Linked DNA regions of Saccharomyces cerevisiae S288C. The gene in region 4 interacts genetically with the main gene of each other region. Each region holds a gene or a part of one and is shown on either strand. Other genes may lie near its edges. The genes, in order: RTF1, HTD2, MAD2 and TUB4.

The links.
Region 1: mutations in TUB4 (region 4) and RTF1 impair growth when combined (synthetic growth defect), as found in Saccharomyces cerevisiae (2 studies listed by BioGRID, with this or other methods).
Region 2: mutations in TUB4 (region 4) and HTD2 impair growth when combined (synthetic growth defect), as found in Saccharomyces cerevisiae (2 studies listed by BioGRID, with this or other methods).
Region 3: mutations in TUB4 (region 4) and MAD2 are lethal when combined (synthetic lethality), as found in Saccharomyces cerevisiae (5 studies listed by BioGRID, with this or other methods).

Annotation. Positions count from the first base shown.
Region 1 is NC_001139.9:39,661-46,958, reverse strand, and holds RTF1 (RNA polymerase-associated protein), read right to left. Parts: upstream 5,462-7,298; coding exon 3,785-5,461; downstream 1-3,784. Other genes in the region: karyopherin KAP114, read right to left, coding at 1-1,514; ankyrin repeat-containing protein ANK1, read left to right, coding at 1,762-2,307; TAD1 (tRNA-specific adenosine deaminase), read right to left, coding at 2,450-3,652; glutamate--tRNA ligase GUS1, read right to left, coding at 5,810-7,298.
Region 2 is NC_001140.6:227,656-234,784, reverse strand, and holds HTD2 (hydroxyacyl-thioester dehydratase HTD2), read right to left. Parts: upstream 3,816-7,129; coding exon 2,973-3,815; downstream 1-2,972. Other genes in the region: exosome non-catalytic core subunit RRP4, read left to right, coding at 127-1,206; DYS1 (deoxyhypusine synthase), read right to left, coding at 1,489-2,652; SSF1 (rRNA-binding ribosome biosynthesis protein), read right to left, coding at 4,089-5,450; RNA-dependent ATPase RRP3, read left to right, coding at 5,748-7,129. UniProt on the Saccharomyces cerevisiae protein: Mitochondrial 3-hydroxyacyl-thioester dehydratase involved in fatty acid biosynthesis. Required for respiratory growth and for normal mitochondrial morphology.
Region 3 is NC_001142.9:383,707-390,959, forward strand, and holds MAD2 (spindle checkpoint protein MAD2), read left to right. Parts: upstream 1-3,950; coding exon 3,951-4,541; downstream 4,542-7,253. Other genes in the region: RNA-dependent ATPase HCA4, read left to right, coding at 131-2,443; Rab geranylgeranyltransferase BET4, read right to left, coding at 2,662-3,642, 3,730-3,732; VPS53 (Vps53p), read right to left, coding at 4,679-7,147. UniProt on the Saccharomyces cerevisiae protein: Central component of the spindle assembly checkpoint which is a feedback control that prevents cells with incompletely assembled spindles from leaving mitosis. Thought to be recruited to unattached kinetochores by MAD1.
Region 4 is NC_001144.5:564,360-568,079, reverse strand, and holds TUB4 (gamma-tubulin), read left to right. Parts: upstream 1-1,798; coding exon 1,799-3,220; downstream 3,221-3,720. Other genes in the region: CRR1 (putative glycosylase), read left to right, coding at 158-1,426; ATG38 (Atg38p), read left to right, coding at 3,549-3,566, 3,626-3,720. UniProt on the Saccharomyces cerevisiae protein: Tubulin is the major constituent of microtubules. The gamma chain is found at microtubule organizing centers (MTOC) such as the spindle poles or the centrosome, suggesting that it is involved in the minus-end nucleation of microtubule assembly.

The DNA.
Region 1 (7,298 bases), on a different chromosome or scaffold from region 4:
AATGTTGCGGATTTAATGAGCTCTTTATCAGATTTTAGCGCCAAATTAAGACTTTTTGCCAAGAATGCAGATGTCAAGGGTTTGATATCAGGTAATGCATCTATAAATTTGTCTAGTACTCTGGGAATAGTCAAAATTGCACGCGCCAATATTAATTCTGGTATTTCTTGTGATACTAAGATATTTTCTAACGTTTTTATTAAAATTTGCAAAGATTGATCGATATTTTCACCAGTTATCTCATCATCATTAAGCAAAATACACTGTAAGAGATATAGTAAAGATTCTAAAGTTGAATAATTACACGTGCTGTGTTCTATATCGTTGGAAACAACTTTGAAAATTAGGGAAAGTTGAGGATTGGGTAATGAAGTAAAAAATTCATTGGCTTGATCTCTAACATTATATGATGCTGCTAGGCCTGTTTCCTTCGATACAAATGTATTGAAATCGCTTGTCCATATCTCTCTTGTCTCAGAACTTAGCTGACAAAGAATGGTTAAAGATGTTATAATTTTGTTCATCTCTTCAACACTAAATTGCAAAGTGCAAACACTAGTCAAAAATTCTACAATATAAATAGAACAATCATGAACTGTTTCTAAAAGGGGTTCACTTTCAGTAGTTTCGACATTTGCATTTATATGGGTAACGTTTTCCAGATCTTGGATTGCCATTATTTTGAACTGTTTTTGTAATTCACTTGAGAAATGCTTTCTAGAGAAATCATTTTTAATAAAAACCAAATTCTCGTATATAATGGATTTAAATTTCAACTGAGAAATAACATCTACGTTTCCAAAATTCAAAGTCAACAATTGTCCCAATATCTGTAAAGAAGTAGCTAAACATTGGGAGACAAAACTTTTTCGTGACGCCTCATCATACTCATTATGGGAGCTCATTTGTAGAAGACATGCTTTAAGTAGCTTCAAAGCAGCAATTTTGGCTATCAAAGTAGAAGTTTCTGTATTGAGTACTTTGAAAACGATCTCCATTGTCGCCAAGCCAATTCCGCCTTCAAAGAACATTTCTTCAGATACGACATCATCGTAAATTTCATTCAATAAAGACATCGCATTTAATGAATGCTGATGAGAGATAGCATCATAAATAACTGTTAAAAGCTGCGGCCATTGATCAGGAAAATCAACCGCAGATATCTGAACAATACAGTAAGATGCACCATTTTTTATTTTGGTATTTTCATTGTCATTTAAGCATAATTTCAGTAGCACTTCTCGGATAAAATCTTTAACATCTATTTCGACGTTCGATGTAGAACGGTATGATTCAAATCCTGGACTCCAATACATGGTGATCAATTTTCTTAACGACAATAAAGCAAACTGTCTCGATTCTAGAGAAGCTTCGTGCTGTAAGGCAACGTTTGCCAGCGCTTTAAACACTTGAGATGCATCGGAATCACACCACTGTAACAATTGCGTTTCCGCAACTTCTCTAGTGTGTTTATCAGCTGATTGAGCACCTATTATCAATTCATTAATATCCATTTTAATGTGTTGATAGTGTTACAATTACGTTCAAGATTTTCGGATCGTGTATGCAGGTCATATACATCCATATGTATCTTTTTTTTTTTTTCCTAGTATACCCAAGGTATAACGCGTTGATAGAAAGGTTGACAATAAATTCATTATATAGGGGTCCTGTGAGGTAGTTTCTGAATCCCAGTGAAAAAAGTCATAAGTGAAAGAAGTCGAAGTTTTTCACAAAATAAATTAGTTTCTTTTTTTGATCATGAATACTGAAGGTGCTTCTTTAAGTGAACAATTGCTGGATGCAGCTAGAAGAAACAATCTGGATCTTTTGGAGACCGTATTTGATAGCTTAGATAATGATCCTGAGAAGATTGCAAAGCTAATTAACGAATCCAAAGAACCACTGGGGAATACAGCGTTACATTTATGTTGTAAGTATGGATCCTGGGAAGTTCTCGACAAGATTCTCGATCAAGACGGTGAAATCGAAATAGACCCACAAAACGACGTTGATGGCGACACTCCGTTACATGTTACTGTCAGATACAGTCAAGAGGAGCCTGAGCATGGAACTTTTATTGCTAGAAACTTAATTGAAGTGGGTGCGGATCCTAGGGTGAGAAACTATAACAATCAAAAGCCAGTTGATTTGGTTCATGGTGATGAACTGGATGAATTAATTGACCTTTTGCAGGGTGCCGAGTTAGCGATTGATAGTACCAATGGATCAGGTGATAACAATGAGGATGGGGAAATGATAGATGATGGTCCATCTGACGATGACGAAGAAGATGATAAAAAATGATAAAATATGTGATGATAATACCACAGAGAGGGAAAGATAGATGAACTCTGGATATATAGATATTTCTACTGTGTATATATTTCTTTAAGGTGCACTAACAAAAAAGTGTGCATATACGCATATTCAACAATATATATATATATTACTTCACATCATCCGTTCTGGTGGGTATCCAACCATCGGGAGATAAAATGTTCTTTATTGCGATAATTAACTGGCTTCTCTTTTTTTGACGAGATTTAAATTCCAAATAGCTTATTCCTTCATACTCTGGTCTTATTTTTTTGAATAGTTCCCATTGTGCAAACCGGCTTACTTGCGATTGACAGTGTTTCCTCAGTGGTTTCGATGATTTGGTATAAAATCCATTCCTCACGCCATTAAGAATCGCTTCTTCGGTGCTAAAGTCATCCATAAAGAGCTTGACACTACACATTAGACCAGGAACATCCTCCTCATCCAATTTATCATCATAAAATGGTTTGAGGCAATTCAGGAATTTAATTTCATTATCTAGATTCGGTAGACGAGTGTGAAATGATTGCTCTAGATGATGTTTCGTTTCATCTTCTAAATTAGGAATCACAATGTACTTTAAAAATACAGGTTTTTCAAAGAGTTCATAATTTAAACAATTCAGTACCGACGACCGTTGTTTCATTAATAATTTATCAGAACAGGATTTAGATAAAGTGATATTGGAATCATATCTTCCTGGTTTAGTCCTAACGACATTTCTTCTATTGAAATTCAAGCGTCCCCTCAATATTGTTTTCACACTACGGTCGACGTATTGAAATTCGTCGCTATCTTCTATTTTGATGAAATCATCATTTTTGCAATTATCATTCAGGAAACTCATGCTGGCATCACCACAGGGCAATCTCGAGATGTACAATGCCAACTCCCAGTTTTCCTTTAAATTGAATCTGGCAGGTATCTCGTCATTATGTTGAATGAATTTATCACCACTTGATGGATTATAGTTTTGAATACGGTTTAATAAAACTGTATTAGCACCTCGTAATGCCAGTATTTCTGCATGACAGTCATGCAGAATCTTCCCCTCACTTCTTTGTAGTTCTGAATCTGGCAAAGCCTTCACACCAGTAGCTATGGAAAGTATCTCTATCTTATTCGCACCGCCATCTCTGTTAATAGCTGCAACACCTGCCAATATTGTCCACTCTCTGATACCTGAAGGCCTAATTATTGGTCTGCAGGCAGATTTTAGTTTTGAATACTCATTAATCACCCTCGTTGATATCTCTTCACCCAATTTATCCTCACTTGGCATAGTGAGAAGGTTTACTATGCATGGCCTTGTTCCTTGGCACGAAACCATTCACATCACTATTATTTTCTGTTCATTTTTTTTTTTTTTTGCATCACAACGATGATAGTATTATTTTTATTTAGTATATTTAAATATATAAATATAAATATATTTTTACAAACACTGAAATTGTCCTGCCTACTAAAACTTAAGGTCAAATTTGATATCCAATTCACCAACCATGCGCTCCAACCCACCAAGGCGCCTGAATTGTGCCACAAGTAGCTCTTTCTCACGCTTATCTTTAGCATCTTTATCTTCTTGTAGCTTCTCTTGTTGTGCAATTTCTTTAGCTTTTGCGTTTTCTTCCTTTTGTATCTCCTGATAGTAAACTTTGGTCCTGGTTTTTAGCCTGCTGAAAGGATCGCTCTTTGAATCAAAGTTATTACTGTCTTCTTTTTTCACATGCTCTGCATTTCTGATGTTACTCATATTCAATTTTCTATTCTTAGAGGTCAACTCGCCTAGTTTTTTAATGTCAGATTGGTCATTTTCATGATGCTTCTCGTATACAGACATTCGTTTCTCAAAGTTTCTTAACTGAGCAGAGTATTTTGCAATGTCCTTTTCATTATTAGTCTCCTTGGCATATTGCAATTTTTCTCTCAATACAGTTTTCTCCAAGACTGCATTCGTACCAGATAGTTTTTTATTGAATTGCATCCTATGGCGAACAACCTCATCTGTAGTTTTATCAGTCAATGGTGTATTGACAAAATCCATAACCTCTTTCGTTTTGTTACTCAAAGAATGTAAAGAAGGTTTAATCATTTGCGAATTATCCAATGCCCTGAGATACCTTTGGTATTCGTCTTCGGCAAACAAACCATCACTAAAATAATTCATTTGAAAAACCTTTCTGTCTTTACCTTGGGTAACACCGAAATACTGGTTAGTATAGAACTTACCCATATTGTAAGGTTTTTGCAAGAAAACTCTCTCAATTCTCACCATACGGTAAGAAGTTTTGCCGGTACGTTTATCTGTGCCAACATTGACTCTCCCATAACAACCTTTGACTGCATCTTCAAACCCGGGATAAAAACAAAATTTTGCGACAAATGAACGACCGATCCTTAGTTTGTTGAAATCAGAAATCTCAGGCTCTCTGTCTTGCTCGTCCTCCTCTTCAGCCCACTCCACTTCTTCTCTTTTGTCGTATGTATCCCTTCTATCAAAAGGATTGTATTCTTCATCATCCCCGTATTCACTCCCTTCATCGTCCTTGTAGTCTTCTTCCCTGTAATCTTCCTCATCGTCTTCGTCTTCATTATCGCTGTAGTGACGGTTTTTCCTCGCTCTTTGTTTCTTTAATTGCGAAAGTTTTGAAGCCTTGATATCAGAATGCCCAGTAGCATGGGTTGATCTAGTGGAAGCTCTGGTCTTTCTGGAATCTTCGTCGTTCTTGGCTCTCTGTTGTTGTTCCTTCATATCTCTTCCACGTGCTCTAAAAAGTTTCCTCTCCTGGTACTTCTGCATGATTTGAGATCTTTCAAATAATAGAGTCTCACGTTCCATTTCAGGTAAGGATTCCAGGTGCTCTCTGTCGCTCTCATCCTTGTACTTTCCTTCCAAGGGAAAAGGATTAGCTTCTTCTTCTTCTTCGGAACCGTAGTCTGCATTTCCTACAGAGTAAGGGTTATAATCGTCCTCCTCATCATCATCCTCTACACTGCCGACTTCAATTCTCCTTTTCTTGGAAAGAGATTGGTCGTTGTTTTTTGCCCTTTTGGCAGATGTAGTTGTCAAAACTTGATCTTCTTCTTCGGATTCATCGGCACCAGCCAAGGCTAATAAATCCTCATCTAAATCAGACATTTCTATAGTGCTCTCAACAAATTAGTGCAATACAATTACAAACTTTGGTATCCTTCAAGTACCTTTTGTAACTTTGAATATTTTCCTTCCAGCTCGTAGTCACTATTTGAACCAATTTCAATAAAATATAAATTGTCAAAATTACAAAACCGGGTAATGGATGATAAACTTTTACAGTCAAAGTTCTATAGGTAGACATACATGTCATAAGCTGCTATCCTTACATGATTCAAGGCAGCGAACACAGGACTGGTTCAGAAAGCAAACCATTCACTTATAAAAGATATTGTTCAAAAGGTACTGGTTGAGAAATAACATAAATATGTATATACATTACTTATGTGATGCTTATTTCTTTGCACCATACTTGTTGACAGATTTACCATCTGGGATGGTAAAAAAGACATATGGCTTACCATCCTTGGGTAAAGCATCCAATCTGTAGTAGCCCTTTCTTTCGAATTGGATGATATCACCAATCTTCATATCCTTAACATTCAAGTCAGCAATGGCATCCGTGTGGAATTCTGTTTGAGGAGTCAAGAAATCTTCGAAACTTTCGTCTTCTTCCAATCTGTCCTTGGTAATCAAATGGTCGAAGTCAACTAAATCAACAGGGACGACATCTTTAGTATCAGCTAACCAAGTCAACTTGTGCTTGGTCTTTTTGAAATCACCTTCCAAATTCAATTTGGCAACCATAGAACCATCGTCATTCTTTTTAGTAATAATGACATTACCCCAGTCCATTAAAGTGACTTCTTCATCAACATTGATGACGTCAGCATCATCTTTGTCGACAACAATGTCTTTGTAGTAAATGACTTTCTTTTCGCCCACAGCTGGGTTTTTCTTGTGTTTTGGTTTCATTTCAATCTTTGGTTCTTGTGGAGCTTCGGAGCCTTCCAAGTGGATTTTAACTGGGTTGACGATAGCAGTGTGTCTTGGAGCAATTGGATCAATGACCTTCTTGTTGAAAGCCCAGATCAAGTTCCATTCCAAGTTAATGACATTTCTGGATGGACCTTGGGATAAGACGAAGTTCCTCAAACCTTCGACAGTCATACCTCTTCTTCTCACACCCCTGACAGTTGGGAACCTTGGATCGTCCCAATTTCCGACCAAGTCCTTGTCAACCATCCATTGTAACTTTCTCTTAGACAACAAGGTTCTAACGAAATTGATACGAGCGAAATCCCAAATATGGACTTTTCTCAAACGCAAAGCTTGTAACATCCAATCATATTGAGCGTTACGGTCTCTATATTCAATGGTACGTAAAGCGTGGGTAACACCTTCAATAGCATCAACAATTGGGACACAGAAATCATAAGTTGGGTAGATCTTCCAAGTTGATCCGGTTCTGTGGTGAGGGGTTAGATTACATCTGTAAATGACAGGATCTCTTAGAGTCTTGTTCAAAGCCTTGTAATCGATCTTGGCACGAACACAGTTCTTCAAACCTTCTTCAGTACCGTTTTTCATTTCTTCGGTAAAAATTCTTAAGTTCTCTTCAACAGAACGATCTCTTCTGGCAGAAGCAACACCATCCATACGTTCTTCTCTCATCTTTTCAGTTGGAGTGTCGTCACAGTAAGCTTTACCATCCTTGATCATTTGAACACAGTAGTCGTACATTTCTTGGAAGTAGTCAGATGAGTAGGTTATTCTATCACCCTTGATTCCTAATAAATCCAAATCTTCCAAAATAGAGTCTTGGAATTCTTCCTTTTCCTTCGATGGGTTGGTGTCATCGAATCTAATAATCAACTTACCCTTGTAAGCTTGAGCAAAATATTGGTTCAACAAGGCAGCTTTGGCATGTCCAATATGTAAG
Region 2 (7,129 bases), on a different chromosome or scaffold from region 4:
ATTGAGCGATGAGGTGAAAAAAAAAAAAAAATTAAGAAAACTAAAACAAAAGTAGAAGAAAAATATCCTTCCTTAAGTACTGCTTGCATTCTAAATCTTTGCGTAGTCACACAAGCGTAAACAGATATGTCCGAAGTTATCACAATTACCAAGCGGAACGGTGCCTTCCAAAATTCATCTAACCTGTCCTATAACAACACAGGGATATCAGATGATGAAAATGATGAAGAAGATATCTACATGCACGATGTTAACTCAGCTTCTAAAAGTGAGTCTGATTCTCAAATTGTGACGCCAGGTGAGCTGGTCACTGATGACCCTATCTGGATGAGAGGTCACGGTACGTATTTTCTTGATAATATGACGTATTCCTCTGTTGCTGGTACTGTATCCCGTGTCAATAGGCTGCTATCGGTAATTCCATTGAAAGGTCGTTATGCCCCAGAAACTGGTGATCACGTCGTAGGGAGAATTGCTGAAGTGGGTAACAAGAGATGGAAAGTAGACATTGGCGGTAAGCAACATGCAGTACTTATGTTGGGCTCTGTGAATTTACCGGGTGGTATTCTAAGAAGAAAATCTGAAAGTGATGAACTACAAATGAGAAGCTTCCTTAAGGAAGGTGACCTCCTGAATGCAGAAGTTCAATCATTATTTCAAGATGGTAGTGCCTCTTTACATACAAGGTCTCTAAAGTACGGGAAGTTAAGAAACGGGATGTTTTGCCAAGTCCCGAGTTCATTAATAGTGAGAGCCAAGAACCATACTCATAATTTGCCCGGCAACATAACCGTAGTTCTCGGAGTCAATGGTTACATATGGTTAAGGAAAACATCTCAGATGGACTTAGCGAGGGATACGCCGTCTGCAAATAACAGTTCCTCAATTAAATCAACTGGACCCACTGGTGCGGTATCATTAAATCCCTCCATAACAAGACTGGAAGAAGAGTCTTCATGGCAAATATATTCGGATGAAAACGATCCTTCCATATCGAACAACATACGACAAGCAATTTGCCGGTATGCGAACGTGATCAAAGCGTTAGCGTTCTGTGAAATAGGCATTACTCAACAACGTATAGTAAGTGCTTACGAAGCTAGTATGGTTTATTCAAACGTAGGTGAACTGATTGAGAAAAATGTAATGGAATCCATAGGCAGTGACATTCTTACCGCCGAAAAAATGAGAGGTAACGGCAACTAATAGGAATACAAAAGCCGCTGTTTACACATTTATAAACTACACAGCAGACTCCAACGCAATTTATGTGTATAAACTTACATAATGTCATGGCTATGTACACACGATTAGTACGTATAGAAATGCAATTGACTCATCTTTATTGCAGACATTACATCATATTTTGTTGATATTATAGTAATATGTTCATTTTTTTATTTATCTCTATATTAAAACAAAACTTTTGCACTAAAAAAAGAAATAGTACAGATTCATTTTTTTTTTTTTCATCTCAAAATTCTCTCATCAATTCTTAACTTTTTTGATTGGTTTACCACTGGCAAAGGTAGCAGCAACAATCAATGGAAGAACAGTGGTGACATCAGCAAAAAGTTTGACGGATTTGGCTTCAGCCTTGATCTTACCCCAAGACACAGCTTCGTCAGGTCTTGCACCTGCATCAGAACCATCGTATTCTTGACCAGTGTTAATGTAAACGGCATAATCAGCACCATTTCTCATCAAACAAGCATTGGCAATGTGGTGCTTGATCAAACCACCACCCAAGATGATCATACCGGCTCTGTAAGCGGCCATGGACATTGAATTGATTTTGCGGATATCTCCTACAATGTCAACTCTTAGTTGTTTTGGAGATGCTTTAAAAGTATGGAAAAACAACATGTCACCGATTGAACCATCAGTCAAAGATGGACAAAAGATTGGAATTTTATTCTTGTGGGCCCAGTACAATACGGAGGATTCGTCGTTGATTTCCTTACCAAAACGATCTATCATCTTAGATGGGGTCCAGATTGGTGAATCCACGTCTTGGTTAGCCTCTAAACAGTCAGCGCCATGTTTCTTTACGTATTCATCTTGTTCTTCCAACATCTTATCCAAAATTGGGACAATCCATTCTTCAAACTTACAGTAGTTATCATTTGGAACAAGCAAGTTACCAATACGATTCATACCTTGGTCACGCAAAGATTTACCTTTCAAAGCAAATTCACCCAAGTAAGTTGGAGCAAGACATTTGATCAAATCTTCTTCCACACCACCAGCAGAAGTAACGACAGCATCAACCATTTTGTGTTGCACCAAATAACGTAAAGTTTCACGTACACCGGAACTGATCAAGTTAGAAGTATAACCCATGAAGATAGTAGTCTTTTGGTACCCTTCCTCATCGAAGCAACCTTTCTTTTCATGGTCATCCAATTCGTCAATATGCTTACCTCTCCATGATCTCATACTATCAATAATCTCACAGGCAGTACCAACAGAACTAGCTTGGAAACCCATGGTCTTCATAGCTTCAATTAAATCAGTTGCTCTCATATTAGTGGCTTCAGGCTTTGAGTAATCAATACCTTGAACCTTAACGAAGTCATCTGGAATAGGAACAGATGCTTTCAAGACAGCGTCTTGTAGTAACTCTGGGAGTTTTTCGTTGATATCGGACATCTTTTTTGCTTTGACTTGTATATAAGTTAACTAAGCAAAACACGACTTTACTCTGCAGTTAGATACAAAACTGATAGAGGGAAGTACTTTGCGTCAAAATGGAAATATACATTACATTTAATTTTTCACTTTACTTTTTATTTTTTTTTCCCACCTTTTTTTCAGTTCTTCCCGTAATGCGTTTACCGTCAACCTGGTGATGGCGAGATATTATGGTAATCTCGTTCGTGACCTTCCACTGTTCAGCAGCTACTAGTATTATTTCAAGAGACAAGAAACACACAGGTAGTGATTATCTGCAGAGAGACAATTACTGGTAGTCAACAGAAAACATCAGCTTTCATGTAGACTAAGTTGGCTTTCTGGAGGTCCCTAATTTGAAATGTGTACATTCCGCTCGAAGAGCTTAAAGACTGACATATGCTCAAAGTAGTGTTTGGATATATATAATTCAAATTGCGGTATCGCAACTGTCTGATTGGTTGTTCGAGAAAAGGTTGGATGCATTTCTGTAGTAATTGGACCGAGAAGGGTCCTTGCATGATAATATCGTCGTAGCCTTCAACATAGCGACTGTACTCTTTGTCCCAATGAATTCGGTGCGGATTCAAAGACATCTGACCATAAGCTACAATATCCATATCAGTAACAGTAAAATTTTTTAAGATCTTATAGTTCTCCTCTCCTACGGGCATCTTGACTGCAGTCTTGTTTGCGGGTGAATTGGTGTACATTAATACCCTTCTCTCGAATAAGCAAATGTCCATTGGACTCGACACATTTTCGGGCCTTTCTTGTAAAAGGGTTCTTTCAATACAGACAACATGTTCATCTCGTATTTTTTTTACGTATTTGATTGATTCGTGGCATGTATACTCCTGGTCTAAGGTGACTGGTAAATACTGAACAAGCTCTCCTTGTCCCCAAATCCTTCTACGGTAGCGTAAATCAGGGTTTCCTAGCAAACTTGCAGGATTTTGATAGTTAAAATAACCATCTCTATCCAATTTTTCGAATGATGGTGGGAAGAACAGGAAATGTTCTCCCAGTTGAAGATGCTTCGTTGCCTTTGATACAGGGAGTCTCCTACAAAGTAAACTATCAAACGCTTTGGTTCGGTGACTAGATAAGACATCCCTGAAAATCCACGTTTTGGATTTCATGCTGATAAGCTGTCTTTAGATAAGTGGACGATTGCCCACCTTCAATGTACCAGCCACGCTCATGTATCGAAACAGTAGCTTAAAATGGCGTAAAAAAGGTAAGATCGAATTTTTTTTCACATGCCTTCTGAGATCTACGTTTCCTTTGGGCTATGATTTAAAAGACAAAGAGTTTATATGTATCAAGTATGCAATTTATCTAAAGTGAAGAAGTATACGTGCGTTGGTGGATAGCCAGGCTTAACTAAAATTTTCTTGGTACCGGAGAACAATTTATTCGACCTCACTAAATAAGTCACTATCTAGATCCTCTGGTACGCTACCATAATGTTCGCTGTCACTTGATGAAGACTCATCATCGCTCATCGCATCATCTTTTCCTTGACCTTCACCTCCTTCTGCTGCTCTAGCTTTTCTTCTTTCCAATTTACGTTGCTTTTTAGCGTCTTTAACAGCCTTCTTTTTAGCAATGTTTTCTTCTTGTTCCTTCTTTCTTTGTTCCTTCAGCCTCATTTTTGCAGCGTGTCTCTTTTCTAAAGCTTTGATTTCTTCGCTTGATTTTTGAACAAATTCATGATGTAACACTTTACCTGAACAAATACCTTCTTCTATCTTGACCAGTTTTAAAGTTAATCTTGGTCCTAATTCAGTTAGTTTGATAGCTTTCTTACGTGGGGTTGGTTGCAAGTTTTCTGAAGGCTTAGGTTCCTCCATTTCCACATCTTCTTCTTCTGTTTCTTTTTCACGCTCTTTATTATCCTTCTTTTCGACCGGTGTTCTTTGGGACTTCAAACTTTGAGAATGCTTTGCCTTCACGTCCTGATTATCAACTACTCTCACGATAGCGTCATCTTCAATTTCAGATTCTGATGTATAGGCGCCTAAGTCGTGATCTAATATCAAAGAAGAAATATCTTCTTTTCGATGCAAATTCGGCACTGTTTTACTTAGATTATTTTTGGCTTTATAAAGCCTTTTTAGGTTTCTAGAGATCTCTACTTCTCGAATGTCAATAAAATAGTGGCGCATAGAAATTTCCCCTGTTTCCCTGTCTTTATTGATCATAAATACACGTTTGATAGAATTCAAAGAAGTTCTCGCAGGATTCAGAGGTGGGAAAATATTCTGAAACATAGAAACAATGACCTTCTCCACGTTTACATCCTGGTCGTCTTCACCAGATCTTTTGGATGTGGAAAACCCGTTTAGCACTAGCAATGGAGGATTTAATACATCATCATTATTCAACGATTTAGGTCTCTTCAAAAATTTTTTGATATCTCTACCCAGAGAATAGTCCAATACTTGAAAAGTAACAGTAGGACCTTGCGGAGTTCTAGCTATCTTTAGGGAGACATTTCCTGTTTTTTCAGATTGAGTGAACATAAAAAGATGCGTAACACCTAATGGGCCACACATAACAACGAAATCCTTCAGTTTATTGGACTTGCGCTCTTTCAATTTTATAGCCGTATGTGGTTGCATGATTTGGCGGAAGTCCTTTACTAATTGGTTCAGAGAATGGTTGGCCAAAGAAGTTTGACCCACTCTGATTACCATTGACTTAGGTATACCTTGTTCCTGCTCAGGTGTAAGCTGTGCATGTGTTCTTTTCTTTTGTCTTCTCTTGGCCATCTTGAAATTTTATTGTCTGCTATATCTGGATTATACTCTTTTATTATTAAACATACTACTCACTCAAACCCAGATATCGAACTAATATCGCGATGAGATGAGCTTCTTCGTCTACTTTTTTTTTTTTTTTTTTTTCAGTGAAAAATTTCAATTTCGTCTAAGGCGATAAAAATGAAAAATTTAAAATTAATCAATGAGCATTTAGCAATTGTACATGGTATACACAGAATTGTGACATATCTTAGAAGCAATATATACCAAGATTCTGTTAAGTACTTCACTGAATCAGCTATAAAAATGTCCAAAATTGTTAAGAGAAAGGAAAAGAAGGCTAACGATGAATTAACTTCTTTAGCAGAAAAGATTAGAGCAAAAGCTTTGGAAAATCAAAAGAAGCTTATAGAAGCAGAAAAGGAAGGTGGTTCAGAGTCCGATTCTGAAGAAGATGCTACTGCTGAAAAGAAAAAGGTTTTGAAATCAAAAAGCAAATCCACAGTATCAACCCAAAATGAAAATACTAATGAAGATGAATCTTTTGAATCCTTTAGCGAACTGAATCTGGTCCCCGAATTAATTCAAGCTTGTAAGAACTTAAATTATTCCAAACCCACTCCCATTCAATCTAAGGCAATTCCTCCCGCGTTAGAAGGTCACGATATAATTGGACTTGCGCAAACAGGTTCTGGTAAAACTGCTGCATTTGCTATTCCCATTTTGAATCGGTTATGGCATGATCAGGAACCATACTATGCGTGCATTCTAGCTCCAACAAGAGAATTAGCACAACAGATCAAAGAAACATTTGACTCATTAGGATCCTTAATGGGCGTGAGATCGACATGTATTGTGGGTGGTATGAATATGATGGACCAGGCCAGAGACCTGATGAGAAAGCCACATATTATCATTGCTACACCTGGTAGATTAATGGACCATTTAGAGAATACCAAAGGGTTTTCACTGAGGAAACTGAAATTCTTGGTTATGGATGAAGCTGATAGATTATTAGACATGGAATTTGGACCTGTTCTTGATAGAATTTTAAAGATCATCCCAACCCAAGAAAGAACCACTTATCTTTTTTCCGCTACTATGACTTCCAAAATTGATAAATTACAAAGAGCAAGTTTGACAAATCCTGTGAAATGTGCCGTGTCAAACAAATACCAAACCGTAGATACATTAGTGCAAACACTGATGGTCGTTCCAGGTGGTCTTAAGAACACATACCTAATTTATTTATTAAATGAATTTATTGGAAAGACGATGATCATTTTTACAAGAACCAAGGCCAACGCGGAAAGGTTGTCAGGATTATGTAATTTGCTCGAGTTTAGTGCCACTGCGCTACATGGTGATTTGAATCAAAACCAGAGAATGGGATCTTTGGATCTTTTCAAGGCAGGTAAGAGGTCTATTCTCGTGGCTACAGATGTCGCTGCGAGAGGGTTGGATATTCCATCAGTGGACATAGTTGTAAACTACGATATTCCTGTGGATTCCAAGTCCTACATTCATCGTGTGGGAAGAACCGCAAGAGCTGGTAGATCAGGAAAATCTATCTCACTAGTATCACAATACGATCTGGAATTGATCTTAAGAATTGAAGAAGTTTTAGGTAAAAAACTACCGAAGGAAAGTGTGGACAAGAACATTATATTGACCCTAAGAGATTCCGT
Region 3 (7,253 bases), on a different chromosome or scaffold from region 4:
TTCCGAAAATTTTTCACTGAAAAAAAAGTGCTTAAGCTCATCTCATCTCATCTCATCCCATCACTATTGAAATATTTTGCTAAAACATTATAACAGAGAGAGTTGAAAGGCTCGAGAACCTAATACTGAAATGGCCAAAAAAAATAGATTGAACACAACTCAAAGAAAGACTTTACGTCAAAAGGAAGATGAGTACATCGAAAACTTGAAAACCAAAATTGATGAGTATGACCCTAAGATAACCAAGGCCAAGTTTTTCAAAGATCTCCCCATTAGCGATCCCACATTAAAAGGTTTAAGAGAATCATCCTTTATAAAACTTACTGAGATCCAAGCCGATTCTATTCCCGTGTCCCTGCAAGGTCATGATGTATTGGCGGCCGCAAAGACAGGTTCCGGTAAGACATTAGCATTTTTAGTTCCAGTAATTGAAAAGCTATACCGCGAAAAATGGACCGAATTCGATGGGTTAGGTGCCCTTATCATATCTCCAACAAGAGAGTTGGCTATGCAAATATATGAGGTTTTGACGAAAATAGGTAGTCACACTTCATTTTCAGCTGGGTTAGTTATCGGTGGTAAAGATGTTAAATTCGAACTAGAAAGGATATCAAGGATTAACATTCTTATCGGTACACCTGGTCGTATTTTACAACATTTAGATCAAGCCGTAGGTCTAAATACTTCCAATTTGCAGATGCTTGTTCTTGACGAAGCTGATAGATGTTTAGACATGGGGTTTAAAAAAACTCTGGATGCCATCGTAAGCACATTGTCACCATCTAGACAAACACTTTTATTTTCAGCGACTCAATCACAATCTGTTGCAGACTTGGCTAGGCTTTCCTTGACAGATTATAAAACCGTTGGTACACATGATGTGATGGATGGGTCGGTTAACAAAGAAGCATCTACTCCAGAAACTTTGCAACAATTCTACATTGAAGTTCCTTTGGCAGATAAATTGGATATCCTTTTCAGTTTTATAAAATCACATTTAAAATGCAAAATGATCGTTTTCTTATCAAGTTCCAAACAAGTGCATTTTGTCTATGAGACATTTAGGAAGATGCAGCCTGGTATTTCTTTAATGCATTTACACGGTAGACAGAAACAACGTGCTAGGACAGAAACTTTGGACAAATTCAATCGTGCTCAACAGGTGTGTCTTTTTGCTACCGATGTCGTTGCTAGAGGTATTGACTTTCCTGCAGTCGATTGGGTTGTTCAAGTGGATTGTCCAGAGGACGTTGATACATATATCCACAGAGTCGGTAGATGTGCTCGTTACGGTAAAAAGGGTAAATCTTTAATCATGTTGACTCCACAAGAGCAGGAAGCGTTCCTAAAAAGACTTAACGCTAGAAAGATCGAACCAGGCAAACTTAATATAAAACAGTCAAAAAAGAAATCCATTAAACCACAATTGCAGTCATTATTATTCAAGGATCCAGAACTAAAATATCTAGGACAAAAGGCTTTTATATCGTACGTGAGATCTATATATGTGCAAAAGGACAAACAAGTTTTCAAATTCGATGAGTTACCAACAGAAGAATTCGCTTATTCTCTTGGTTTACCAGGGGCCCCAAAAATCAAAATGAAGGGTATGAAGACCATTGAGCAGGCCAAAGAAAGAAAGAATGCTCCAAGACAGCTAGCTTTCTTATCAAAAGCAAATGAAGATGGTGAAGTAATTGAAGATAAGTCGAAACAACCAAGAACAAAATATGATAAAATGTTTGAACGTAAAAATCAAACCATCTTAAGTGAACACTATTTGAATATAACGAAGGCTCAAGCACAAGAAGACGAGGATGACGATTTCATTTCTGTCAAGCGTAAAGATCATGAAATAAATGAAGCTGAGTTACCAGCTCTAACTCTTCCAACTTCAAGGCGAGCACAGAAGAAAGCGCTTTCAAAGAAGGCATCTCTGGCCTCCAAGGGTAACGCTAGCAAATTAATATTTGATGATGAAGGCGAAGCCCATCCAGTTTATGAACTTGAAGATGAAGAAGAATTTCATAAGAGAGGTGATGCGGAGGTACAAAAGACAGAATTTTTAACTAAAGAATCTGCAGTAATGGCAGACATTGACAATATTGATAAGCAGGTGGCTAAAGAAAAAAAACAAGAGAAGAAGAGAAAAAGACTAGAAGCCATGAGAAGGGAAATGGAGGCTGCTATGGAAGAAGAAATTTCTGGAGATGAAGAAGAAGGGAAGACAGTAGCATATTTAGGAACAGGAAACTTGAGCGATGATATGAGCGACGGTGATATGCCTGACTCGGAAGGCCACTTGAAAAAGAAAGCTAGAACTGTTGACTATTCCCACGGCCACAATCCATCCAATTCAGTTGATGATGACATTATTGAAGTGGAAGAACCACAAACTTTGGAGGATTTGGAATCTTTGACAGCTAAATTAATCCAGGGTTAAACCCTCCTGCATAGTCTAACCTATAGTATTTAGAACTTGTATACATCTATTCTCTACACTAATATACTTATTTCTTTGTTCAAATCATCGGTAATATTACAATAAAAGAAAAATATGCATATACTTTCGTGCATTGAAGGTGTCAAATGAAATCCCGCTTATAGTGAACAGGCTTCCATCATATATACATATATATATATGTTTATATATGTATATCATCACTTATGCTGCTCCAGGAGATGTAGGTATCTATTCTTTCTTAACGGATCCGCATCTATTAATTGGACCAAATATTGTTCCGAGCTTCTTTCCGTTAGAGCTTCCTTTTCTTCCAGAATATCTTCGAGAACTAATAAAATTTTCAAGCACCAAATATTTTGCTTCCCGGAAAATTCAATTTCGTCATTATTTATTAACAGAATGTTTTCTCTCAAGTCTTTCAACATTTTAAGGTACTCTTGTTCGTCCAGAGTTTTACAAACAATGTCGTTTTTAATGAACCACTTGATATAAAACCATACGGATTGGTCTTCGGCGTCGGTAAACATAGCGTTGATGATATAAGATATTTCAGTCCGAATATACTCCTTTTGATTCCCAACCTCTCCTTTCTGAAACATTCTGCTTATGATCTGTACTCTTTGGTGCCATGCAGAATAATTTGAAATGTTATTGTTAATCTTTATTGTTGTGTATTCAAACTCCTCCTTGTCAAGACTTTTATTAGTGATACTCTCTATGTTACCAACAACTATTCTGCGGTAATGCCATCCGTGGTAATTTCTTGCATCTTGTTCCAATAACTTATTCACGACAGCAAGTTCAGTTTGCCACACTTTAGGGGAACTCGTAGGATAATGTTTCAAGACCCAAAGTCTGTGATTCCATATCCAATAGACTTTGGGGTAATCCTTCAATAGCATCATTACAAAAACTAACTCTTTATCCCAGAAAGGTATTTCCAACTCAGAAGCCAAACTCGCTATAATATCCCTTCTGTAATTCCAAATAGCATTAAATTCCGGATTTTTCTCAAGAAGTTCTGATGTTTTCTTCAGAGCTTCAATTGAGTAAATTTTTTCATCTCTCATATTCAAAACATTTTCAGTCAAGCTTCTATAATCATATATTTTCTTTTCGTCTTGAACTCTCTTTTGTCTCAGTAATTCCTTGGTCCACTGTTTCCTTTTAATGCCATGCTGTTTAATGTGGCAAATATAAAAAATTGCTTGGTAGTCAGTAAAAAAAAGAATTCATAATGTAACGAACATTTGAAGTGCACATACCATTGCTGACCTACTGCTTTATAGTATAAATTCAGTATACTAGGTATATGTGGCTCAAAAATGTGGTTTTTTTCTTTTTTGCCTTTAATTTTTTTCAAATGTTTACGTATGGTTTATGATTTAACATTTCAAGAATAGAAATCGCCCCGAAGAATGATTGATGTTAAATACTCGTACAAGAGTATTGAAAACCACTTCAAAGGGGCCCAATAGCACATTTAATGTCACAATCAATATCACTAAAGGGTTCAACAAGGACAGTTACAGAATTTTTCGAGTACAGCATTAATTCCATTTTGTACCAAAGAGGCGTATACCCAGCAGAAGATTTCGTAACGGTGAAAAAGTACGATCTTACGTTACTAAAGACACATGATGATGAACTGAAAGATTACATTCGGAAAATTCTTCTACAAGTTCACAGGTGGCTTCTTGGTGGAAAATGCAATCAATTAGTATTATGTATTGTAGACAAGGATGAGGGAGAGGTGGTGGAAAGATGGTCCTTCAATGTGCAACACATTTCTGGCAATAGCAACGGGCAGGATGATGTTGTAGATTTAAATACAACACAATCACAAATCAGAGCTTTAATCAGGCAAATCACCTCAAGCGTTACCTTTCTGCCCGAACTAACAAAAGAAGGTGGGTACACATTCACAGTACTTGCATATACAGACGCGGATGCTAAAGTTCCGTTAGAATGGGCCGACTCCAATAGTAAAGAGATACCTGATGGTGAAGTAGTTCAATTCAAAACATTCTCTACCAACGATCATAAAGTTGGTGCGCAGGTCAGCTATAAATATTAATAGAATTCAAGTCAAAAAAAAAAAAAAAGACGGAAGTCCAAAAAAATCTCGTTTTCGATGTTTAGAAAGAATATAGATTTATGAACTATATTATACTATACTACGTACTTCCTCTGTAAACCACTTCATGCGTTTTTTCAAGTGCCTCTGTTAAAGAACCTTGAGTGAGAAACGAAGTCTTTGACACTCAAACTTTGCTTTTTTTGTTCTTCTTTTTGTTGTTGTATTTGAGGGGTGGATACTATCCTCTTCATAACAGGTGGTGATATTTTCAGATCTTGCCTCACAAATTTTGACCAATTCGGATCTTGCATCCTTGCCAAGTTGTTTTCAAATTGACCCAAAAGTACCTTGTCCCACTTGAATATGAAAAGATCGCGATTACTGTCTGGCCTGCTGCCCTCGTCAGTGTCGTCTGTTTCTAAGTTGTAGGCACTCCATAGCTTTTTCCATAATGCCAGGTCCCATGGAATGCCCTTTAAAGCGAGGACAAAAGACCATACCGCTGAATCAGGGTTATTATTGGTCAATTTGGAGTAGGTCTCGTAATAGTCATCAGCGGAATCCAGAGGAGCCATTAGAAGTTTAATAAACTTCAGCAGCTGGTCTATATTATTGTCTGCATGTCTTTTCACCCTCTTATAAGAGGTATTTTCTCGCAAGTCAGAATCGTTACTTACACTTTCTGGTAAAGTGTGAAAAATCTCCTTCAGCAATTCTAAATCAAGGAGAAGCTGCTCGCCAATGTTGACAACAGTTCTGGTTTCAAATTTCCTTTTGCTGCCCGCCAGGGAAAAGGGTGGAACGGGCTGCAGAAGGCGGATGGTATTGCTTACAAAATTTGTAGTGATGATATCAATCACCTTATCCAAGAAATTCCACTTATAAACATCTCTATTGAATTGCGACAAAATAAATGCCAAAGTCGAAGGTTGCTCTTGCTGTTGTTTAATAGAGGCATCTGTTAATGCGGGCATTTTAAGTACGGATTTGAGGGTTACCATGTACCTGCTATAATCTTCTATCGCAGCATTTGACCAATCATTGTTGATAAACTCTCTCCATACAAAATTTAGATCTAAGGGTATGACACGGTTTAATAGAAAAGAAGTTCCTTTTGCTAGTAAATCGTCGTATATATTTTTCGTTTTCGTAAAACTGTTTGCCAGCTTTTCACGATTACCGCTGAATTCAGATAATTTATCCTCCAATTGATCTATAGTCGTGGCACAATAATCTGCAGTATTGATCAATAAAACGGTATACTTGGCAGCTTCTAGCTTATCCTGGACTTCAATATTGTCGGGCAGCAGTAAAGGAAGAAGAATTTTTTGTGAGTAAGTTTGAAGCCATCTACTGAAAAAATTTGCCAATGAAGTCAATATGCTATCATTGGCATTATTATCAATGAGCTCTAAGGTCTGAGTCAGTACGGAACGATATGTCCTGAAAAGGTCTGCACTCGAGGGTAACACGAGAGATTCTGTTTCATTAGATGGGTACTTCGGCTCACTCATATAAGAAAGAAATTTCTTTTCCATCATTTGGTTTTGGTGAGACACCCATAAAGTCAAATAAGGTTCGAAGCAGGAACTTAGTTTTGGTTCCTTAATTTTTTTTGAAAATCGTACGTCGATGTATTTTTCGAAATCTAGCGTCGATTGTAATGCTGTCATGAATAGATCAATGGAAGGGTTCTTGTCTTTGAATTCCCTTTTCAGAAGTGTCTGAAGGTCCTTGTGTGTAATGTGATAAAAAGTGGTGGTCAATCTGACTGCCATTTCCCAGTCTTTTAAGAAATAGTCTGCGAACTTTGAATTGAAGTTATTAAGAATTTTTTTGAAGTAAATGTATCTTCTCGATAAATTTTCTAGGGATCCGGCTTCATCGTCGACCCTAAATATCTCTTTCATTTCGAAGAGAAGTTTGTCCAAACACCAATCTATCATCTGGGCTCTCGTACTTGTATCGCAGTCGAGTAGCTCGCAGGCACCTTCGCGCAATTCCATAGTGAGTGCTGTATCATGCTCTGAGATATTGCCGCCGGAAAAGAGCGCATTGTAGTTTTGTTTAATTTTGGACAAAGTGTCTCCTTTCAGTCTTGAAATGGAGCTCAACAAATAGTTTATCTCGTCCAATGATTTGTAAGAGATGAATGTGTTTTCAGCAAGCGAACACATTATCTTATAAGGGGACACCATTTTTTTGAATGAGCCCTGTGAGAGTAATTCATTGCATTGTATGTAACTGTCTGTCAATATCTTTAAATTTTGGAAAAGAGTCAAAGAGTGGGTGAGGTTTTTCTTGGCAATGTCCAGGTACGAGATACCTTCTGTCAGATTCGATATCGTCAACTCGGTGGAGGCTGAGACATCTTGAGTTTCTTTGAAATCTTGGAAAACTTTCCTCAGAGAAGCCTCTATTTCAGCGGAATTTTTAGGGTGTTCCTTCAATTCATTCTCTTCTTTGAGAATATCCTCTTGCAATTGCTTTTTGTAGCTTCTGGTAATACTGATCAGTTCATCTATGTTGTTCAGGGATTCTTTTGAAAAAAGTATATTGGTAATATCTTCCAGCGGGTCATAATCTACCGTACCTTCCAGCATTGTCCTTCTGAGAAAACAAAAATGGAAGATGTTGTGAAAATGCAGTAAGTGACAATAAGCTAGCGACTTTTCAATGATCGCAGATTAAGTATATATACACTTTAGG
Region 4 (3,720 bases):
TTAAAGGCGTCACAAAAATTATGTAAAGCCTCGCGACGATCATGTAGGAAAAAAAAAAAAAAGACAATACCAGCTAATAATTATCGATTAATAACGAAATACAAGAACAGTCGTTTAGTTTAGAGTATCATCAAGGGCTTTTGCACGAAATAAAAATATGAGAATATCAATATTACAGCTGGTGCCGGTTGTTGGCTACATCGGATTTGCACTGGGAGAATTATACAAACCCAAAAACTCCATTTCTTGTTCTCCAAATAACCCTTGTCCCGCAGAATGGCCGTGCTGCTCGCCGTATAATGAATGTGGCGCTGGACCGATATGTGTCGGTGGCTGCAACGTGAGGTCATCTTTCGACGAGGAAAGCTGTGCTCCTATACCTGCATTAGTCGCCAGTCAAAAACTTGAATTTGTTAGCACACCAAAGGTTCCTAAATTTATTGTGAACTATCAACCTAAGCCACCAATAAGAGAGGGAAATGGACCGAATAAGGCAAATACCAAGGTGGGTGTAGTAGAAGGGGAGCTAAATTCCAAGAGAATCATACACTACGCCAAATTCTTGGTCACTCCAGACAGTAAAGAGGCAGAGAAAATGTTGGAAGATTTCGATTTCACACATAGCGGCTACACATCAATTGAAGCGAGTAGCGGGAATATTGTTCTGGCTATGCCAAAAAAAACTACCGGAAGTTTGATCACATCGACCAGGTCGTTTCTATACGGCAAGGCAAGCGTGCGAATGAAAACGGCGAGGTCGAGGGGTGTGGTGACTGCATTTGACTTAACATCCGCAATTGGGGACGAGATTGATTTTGAGTGGCTGGGTGGTGATTTAATGACGGCCCAATCAAACTACTATTCTCAAGGGCATTTGGATTACACAAGAATGCAAAGATTTCCCGTAGGCGCTGACACTTGGGCCACTTACCACACTTATGAGATTGATTGGGACCCGGATAGGATAATATGGTATGTTGATGGTAAAATAGCTCGCACAGTCCTGAAGAAGGATACCTGGGACCCCATTAGTAAAGAATATAGGTACCCACAAACGCCGATGAGACTAGAAATCGCTGTTTGGCCAGGCGGCTCGGAAACCAACGGACCCGGTACAATAAACTGGGCAGGTGGCCTCATAGATTGGGAAAATTCACCCGATATTATCGAAAAGGGCCAATTTACGGCGCATGTTGAACAAATCACCGTAACGCCGTACCAAAATAAATTCACAGAACAAGTGCAGTTTTGTATAAAGGCAAAGAAAAAGGCACCAACCTTTTCCCAAAAAGATTTGTCAAGAGTAGTCGTTTCGTATAACAGGCAAGACAGACTGAATCATCATGATGAGGGGTCTCTCAAATGGGACTGCTTTGTTACTCCAAAGATAAATGACTGGTTGAGTTCTTGGAAACGGTCAAAATAGTCACAGCAATAATGTCTTACGAAGTTCTCTCTTCCGTAACGGATCCTCTAATTCCCTGCATGAAGGCACGCTCTAATATATATGTATACATTCTTTAGTTCAAACCTTTCAAGAAACACAAAATGCACCTATTTTCCGCATTGCAATTATTACTAATTTCCTAAAGCAAATATTTACTATTCTCCCATTATAACGTTCTCTCTTTGTTACCCTGACATTCAGAAAATATCACCGGGTAACAGAACGCGTTAATATTATCTTTTGGGAAATTTCATTAAATGTAATAAATAATAATCGTAACAGTAGCTGCGAAATGAACAAATGCGTAATATCGGTTAGTCACATGTATAAGAATTCAACATATAACTATCTATGGGTGGAGAAATTATTACTTTGCAAGCAGGTCAATGCGGGAACCACGTTGGTAAGTTTCTCTGGTCTCAATTGGCGAAAGAACACGCTATAGGCACCGATGGGCTATCTCAGCTTCCTGATTCCAGTACGGAAAGAGATGATGACACAAAGCCTTTCTTCCGCGAAAACAGTAGGAATAAGTTTACGCCAAGGGCTATTATGATGGATTCCGAGCCTAGTGTCATCGCCGACGTGGAGAACACATTTCGTGGGTTTTTCGACCCAAGAAATACCTGGGTAGCTTCTGATGGCGCTAGCGCTGGTAATTCTTGGGCCAATGGGTATGATATAGGAACTCGTAACCAGGATGATATTCTTAACAAGATCGACAAGGAGATTGATTCTACCGACAATTTCGAAGGTTTCCAGTTGCTGCACTCAGTAGCCGGAGGGACCGGTTCAGGGCTCGGATCCAACCTCTTAGAAGCGCTGTGTGATCGATATCCTAAAAAAATACTCACGACATATTCTGTGTTCCCTGCAAGATCTTCTGAGGTTGTTGTTCAATCTTATAACACTATTCTGGCTTTGAGAAGACTGATAGAAGATAGCGATGCAACGGTGGTGTTTGATAACGCTTCGTTGCTGAATATTTCCGGTAAAGTGTTTAGAAATCCGAACATCGATTTACAACACACGAATCAATTGATATCGACCATAATATCTTCAGTAACGAACAGTATACGGTTTCCGAGTTACATGTATTCATCCATGTCCAGTATTTACTCTACCTTGATTCCTTCTCCTGAACTTCATTTCCTAAGCCCTAGTTTCACTCCATTTACATCAGATTATATTCACGATGATATAGCGCATAAAGGCCATTCCAGTTATGACGTCATGTTAGATTTATTAGACCCTTCCAATTCTCTTGTCTCTACCGCGATGAACAATCCAACATATTTTAACGTTTATAATACAATCATTGGTAATGTAGAACCTCGTCAGATATCGCGTGCTATGACCAAATTACAACAACGCATCAAATTCCCCTCATGGTCCTCTTCTGCGATGCACGTTAACATTGGAAGAAGATCGCCATACTTGCCTTTACAACCAAATGAAAACGAAGTTAGCGGCATGATGTTAAGCAATATGTCTACCGTGGTGAACGTCTTTGAGAATGCGTGCAATACTTTTGACAAAGTATTTGCCAAGGGCGCATTTTTAAATAATTATAATGTAGGCGACTTGTTCCAATCAATGCAGAACGTTCAAGATGAATTCGCCGAGTCAAGAGAAGTAGTACAAAGCCTGATGGAGGATTATGTAGCTGCAGAACAAGATTCGTACTTGGACGATGTACTTGTTGATGATGAAAATATGGTTGGCGAGTTGGAAGAGGACCTGGATGCCGACGGTGATCATAAATTAGTATAATGATGCCTTCCTTGTTCAGGAATTTTACCACCGCCCAATAGTTTTATTATAGTACTCTCAATATATCTATACCAACAACCGCTTCAAATGTATTATCTCCCTTTATAAATTCTGCACTGTATTGTAATATGTATAAAGCTCTGTACCACTTTTTCATCATTGCATACATCGATAGCGCCTCTTCAACTTTAGAATTTCCTAAAGGGTAGAAAAACCAGATGATTCAACTCAGCGTAATGGAACGCTCTGTTTGAAATAAAAAACATCTGTATCGCTGCACGGATTAGTTCGATAATTCAACGACAGTTATACTAATCTTGGTGATGGAATGAGTACTTTAGCGGAAGTAAGTTTTTGAATTATGCCCCCACTTTTTTTTTGTTCATGGTGACTAACATGAATTAGGTTTATACTATTATTGAGGACGCCGAACAGGAATGTCGAAAAGGAGATTTTACAAATGCAAAAGCGAAGTATCAAGAAGCCATTGAAGTTTTAGG